2 linked regions of the Kluyveromyces lactis genome follow. Each later gene encodes a partner of the first gene's protein in a complex. Links are inferred from orthologs where the notes say so. Each region holds a gene or a part of one and is shown in the gene's direction. Other genes may lie near its edges.

Evidence for each region.
Region 2: the proteins of MAK3 (region 1) and MAK31 are in contact, whole or in part, in a crystal structure (PDB 6YGA), measured with the Saccharomyces cerevisiae proteins. The link is inferred for Kluyveromyces lactis from reciprocal best matches to the Saccharomyces cerevisiae genes MAK3 and MAK31. Residues at the interface, in NP_015376.1 of Saccharomyces cerevisiae: Glu13, Ser32, Ile33, Tyr34, Arg37; in NP_009948.1 of Saccharomyces cerevisiae: Ala30, Val31, Asp32, Gln34, Asn36, Leu37, Leu38, Ser57, Pro59.

Annotation. Positions count from the first base shown.
Region 1 is NC_006038.1:1,057,159-1,059,727, reverse strand, and holds MAK3 (peptide alpha-N-acetyltransferase MAK3), read left to right. Parts: upstream 1-1,334; coding exon 1,335-1,871; downstream 1,872-2,569. Other genes in the region: autophagy protein ATG11, read right to left, coding at 1-870; POL30 (proliferating cell nuclear antigen), read right to left, coding at 1,958-2,569.
Region 2 is NC_006037.1:973,732-976,344, forward strand, and holds MAK31 (Mak31p), read left to right. Parts: upstream 1-1,722; coding exon 1,723-1,998; downstream 1,999-2,613. Other genes in the region: E2 ubiquitin-conjugating protein UBC8, read right to left, coding at 24-627, 794-798; HTL1 (Htl1p), read right to left, coding at 1,100-1,345; MAK32 (Mak32p), read right to left, coding at 2,055-2,613. UniProt on the Saccharomyces cerevisiae protein: Component of the NatC N-terminal acetyltransferase, which associates with the ribosome to acetylate nascent protein chains in a cotranslational manner.

The DNA of each region.
Region 1 (2,569 bases):
AGCCTCTTCTTTATATTGATTTGATACAAGCTCAATCTCTGTAGCCATTTCTTTAAATCGTTCAACCATTTGGTTGTCCATATCATCAGAACTGACAACTGAATTTTTTTTCACATCATCTAAATCTGAGATTAACTGTGTTCTCTGCTGGTAGCATTCATCAATACTTTTCTTTAACTCCTTTAACTTCGCATTTAGTTCACGATCCAGACGGTGAATGGAATCCTCGATCTCTGTTAGCTCGCTATAATTGAAAAATGATGATAATAACTGATTAGAAACTTTAATATTGCCGAGAATATTATCATAAAAGGAATGCCATTGATTTGAGGCACCATCTTCGTGAAGCTTGTTAAGAAAATCAACGTTGCCATTATACAGCACCTCCACTTCATAGCAGTAGTTTTTCAAATACTCAAGCATAACAGTACCACACTCTAATAACCGTTGAACGTCTTGATAAGTTTCTTTTATAACGTCCTGGAAAAATTCAACGTCTGATTGCAAAGCCTTCAACCACCCTAAATTCCGTAGAATGACATTTTTATCCAACTGTAACGAATCGCTTATCGGCGATGGCAAAGGTTTGAAAAGTTGGAACCTTGGCTTTGGGGAAAACTCGATCTCCTCATTGAATATTCCACGGTCAAATACGTATATTTCTTCCAATCCTTCTTGTTGCAGCTTTCTGGAATCCCATCCTGCTTTCTTCAATATCATTCCATAAGGTAACAATAGAAGTATGTCATCGAGCGGTATCTGGAAAGTATCACTTGCAAACTGTTTCAAATCTAAGAAACTAGGGAAATAAACATTAGATAATTGGTGTGAAACTCCTGATGTAGCACATATCAACTTGCATGGCGGCATTATTAATAAAATTATCAGATTGTAACCTTAAGACTTTGGAAAGAAATAAAGGGACAATGTCGATTTAATGATGATGAAATGGGGGGTGTTAGCTCACAGGATTCTATATCATGAGTATTCTTTAAATGCTGAGATATATCTAATCTGGAGTACTAAAGCCGTAAGCAACAAGTGGAATAAGAGCCGATAAACGTCAGGGGACTGAAAAACTATGTAACAGGTTTTCTCACCTATAAAACTTACCGGGGGGTCCATATAATCTTTTTTCGAATCAGTTTGGTGAAGCAAGAGCACGTGACTGATATGCTTTTATTATAAAAATTTGGTTTTAAACCTCCAGATGATGAGATAAACAGTTTTAAGTAAAGCTTTTTATATTCGCTAGCTTCGGCAGCATCTACTCTCATTGATATAACTAATTAAAAATTAATAAGAAAGTATACTGCAGATAAACTAAGCAAAGGATGGTCGAAATAAGGTACACACGATTCGATATCAGTAATGACATGGAGTTTTCCACCATCAAGAAATTGATCGATGAGGATCTCAGTGAGCCATATTCGATATACGTGTACAGATTTTTCCTAAACCAATGGCCGAACCTAACGTATTTGGCATGGGCAGAAGGATCGGGTAAGCCCATAGGATGTATAGTATGCAAGAGCGATACTCATAATGGAGTGCGGTTAAGAGGATACATTGGCATGTTAGCAGTGGAGAAACAATATAGAGGCCGTGGGATAGCGAAAAAACTAATTACCTTAGCTATAGATACTATGATTGATGAAAAATGTGACGAGATTATGTTGGAGACTGAATGCAGCAATGCAGCTGCTTTGCATTTATACGAGAATATGGGCTTCATCAGAATGAAGAGATTATTCCGGTATTATTTGAACCAGGGAGATGCGTTTAAACTCATTTTACCGATTACAGAGAAAAGTTGTGTGAGAAGCACATTCCTGGGGATGGATTCCTTTCCTACCGACACCATACTCTAAAGTAAATTGAATTGATTTTATATCAGTAATTGTCATTTTAATACACACACAATATATATATATATATAGCATTGCGAAAAGAGATTTCATTCCTCTTCATCGAACTTTGGAGCCAAATAGAATTGCAAATTACCGCTTGAGATATCGAATTGGAAAAGGGCTGGCGCTTCTTCCGATAATTTTATAGTGATTGTATCTGATAGAGAGGACCCCTTAATGATGTCGTTTAAATATTTAGCACCGAACCTTAAATCTACTGGTTTTTCTATGGTAACTTTAATTGAACTTTCAGGATGATCCAAATCGGTGAAAGGTTTCACAACAATGGACCCACTTCCGATATCACCTTCTGCGGCGAATTTGATGGTATCCTTAGTGACTAAGATGTTAATAGAATCACTCAATTGACTTAAGTCACGTACGGTCTTCGCGAAATCAGCAGATGGCATTGTAATATAGGATTCATATTTCATATCAGAGATCTCCAAGAAATCTGTTTCGATTTCCATCAATTTTAAAGAGTATTCACTGACACGGTCTCTTTTTGTATCTTCGAATAAGATTAGAATAGAATCTGGAGAATCTTCAGCGATAAGCGTTAGATTGTCCGAATTGTTACCACAACGAAGAATCTTACTCAAGTTCGTCAAATCGCAACCTAGCACGACATTTCTGTCCGCTCTAAACTCTTCAAATGC
Region 2 (2,613 bases), on another chromosome or scaffold:
CATTAACTTTTAACTTTCAAATTTCAATCGTCGTCGTCACTGACTTCTATATCACTTAGTTCCATACTATCGTTATCGTCATGTGCTTGCTCGTCGTCTGATTCGTCCATATCCGCATCCTCATCCTCATCATCTGTATCATCGGAACTGTTCCATTTCCCAAACTGCTGTATGTATTTTTCCTTGGTAGCGTATTTGTTGATGTATTCATGTATCTTTTGTTCATACATATCTTTATCCTTCAGTTGCAACGTTGCTGCTTCGTTATTCAAAGGGTCCGACCCATTTGGCTCCTTCAACAACCCTGGGATCATCCATTCCACGATGTTTAAAAGGTCGTATAGCGGAGACCACGTAGAGTTGATCACGTCCAAACAGATCGACCCGGATGCAGCATCGATGTTCGGATGGAATATCTTGTTGACAAACCCTATACTGGGCGATTTGTAAGGATAGTTGTCAGGTAACTCAACGTGTAACCTCCACACCCCCTTTTCATACGGTGTATCCTTGGGACCATGAAATTTTATATGGAACTCTTGCATCTTATCTTCAACCAACTCAACGTCATGATCACTCATCAAAAGTTTCATGACGTCCGTTTCGATCCTCCTTTTTGAATTAGAACTGATTTCAAAAATGTAAACTTGTCGTTTATACACAAGTATATCGTGTAACGAGCCATTCAAGATTATAGTTAGTATTCTGAACAGATCATTCAAACTTTAGTCATAAAAGATACTGAGACACAGCATCTTAAAAAAAAGAAAAAACTCCATTTCAACGAACATACCTCATCTTTAATTAATAAGCTTGACCGTAGCGTGCCTATCGAATACAATAACGCGATATCAGCACCAAACGATTCTATTATCGTTGTCTTAACGCCTGGAACAGCAAAAGATGATGAGTGCTTTCCTTGTTGAAGGGGTTAGCAACTTAAAAGGATCTTTTTGAAGTTCACTTTCCACAATTTTCAAATTCAATGATGGCAGAAGACAGGAAGTCACGTGACAGGAAGAGCAAAAAAAATAGAATACAATGCACAAAAGAGAACCTCTCGGAATTGGGCAGCTTGTATCATAGCATCCCCGTCTTATTAATCTGATTCTGATTTCAAAGTCTCAACTTCTTGTTGTACCGATTGAAGCCTTTTCCTCAGAGAAGCCAGTTTCTTTTCGCGGTCTTCTGACGAACCAAGAAACAATTCGGTTCTGCTACTGTCGTCCAACAAGTTGAAAAGCTCCACCATATTAGCTCTTCTAGACAATAGGTCTTCTGCTGTGATTGTCTTGAGATTGACTTTCAAATCTTGTGGTTGTTCGGTTCCTTGCGTGGTGGTCATTGCGAAATACGATAATACTTTGATAAAACACTGACAAGATGTCGAAAATAACCAGAAGACACAATGGTTGCAGCTAATACGAGTAAAGCTTTCTGAAATGATATCAATTCCAGCGGATACTGAGTCGTTGATACTGAGTCGTTGATACTGAGTTGCTTAGTGAGAAAGAACGAGGATTTCAACGAGCATCTGAACAGATGTAGATGTTTATATCTGTTTAAAACTAGAGATTTCCCATTAAAAAAAAAAAATACGTAAAAGTATATGAAATGAGTTTAGTGCAGAGATTGAAATCTGGCAAACTACCTCAAAGATGAGAAACTGGGCAACGGCAACGCATCAACCAGTTATCATTATCACTCGCATAATTTACATTAATGACAGATTTATCTAACGTACACTTACACGATTTACTGAGCGAAACTTTGTACATAAACTTGGATCAGAAACGATCTTTGACCGGGAAGCTCATCGCTATTGATTGCAAAGCAAACCTTCTACTGGATGAAGTGGTCGAAAATAATGACGGCCATGTACGGAAGATGGGTTTAGTAAGTGTACCATTTGTTTCTGTACGGTCCGTAAAAGTTAGAAGGGAACTGGTCGACACTATCAATGCTCTGAAATTGAATATTTCTTCCCAATACGTATGATAATACAAATTAAAATAAAAAACTGATCTAACTGTTCCCAATAGGTACCTACAGACTTAATATTTCATTGGTTGAAGAGAGTTCAATATTTCACTGTGGCCCTGCTTCAGTTCATAAGTGGATAAATAATATAATAATCTATCTGCAAAAGTCGTTTTATTCCAGTGCATTCCATTGTGAGATGGTACACCGATCTGTTCGATGGCACAACCTGCAGCAATATTGCCACATATACTGGCAATTGAAATGTCTTTACACATGGCGTATGCGAATGCAAATGCTCCAAGGAAAGTATTTCCGCCTCCTGTTGGATCAATGACACATTCTGGAGTCTTGTAATGGTATGCTGGGAAATGGATAATGTCATCGTTTGATGGATTTTTATTGCAAATTAAGGCCAATGACCCTTTTTTACCACATCTGAGGACACAAATGTTACCAGGTTTAATCAATGCTGCTAATTTCAATAATATTGTGCTGCAATCCGAAAGTTCAGTTGGCTCTGTTTCACCCAGCATCCTAGCGCCTTCTTCCGCATTTGGCGAAAAGATGAAATGGTATGGTCCGTTGAGCAACTTCTTAATCCCTTCGAGGTGCTCAACGTTACACAAATCT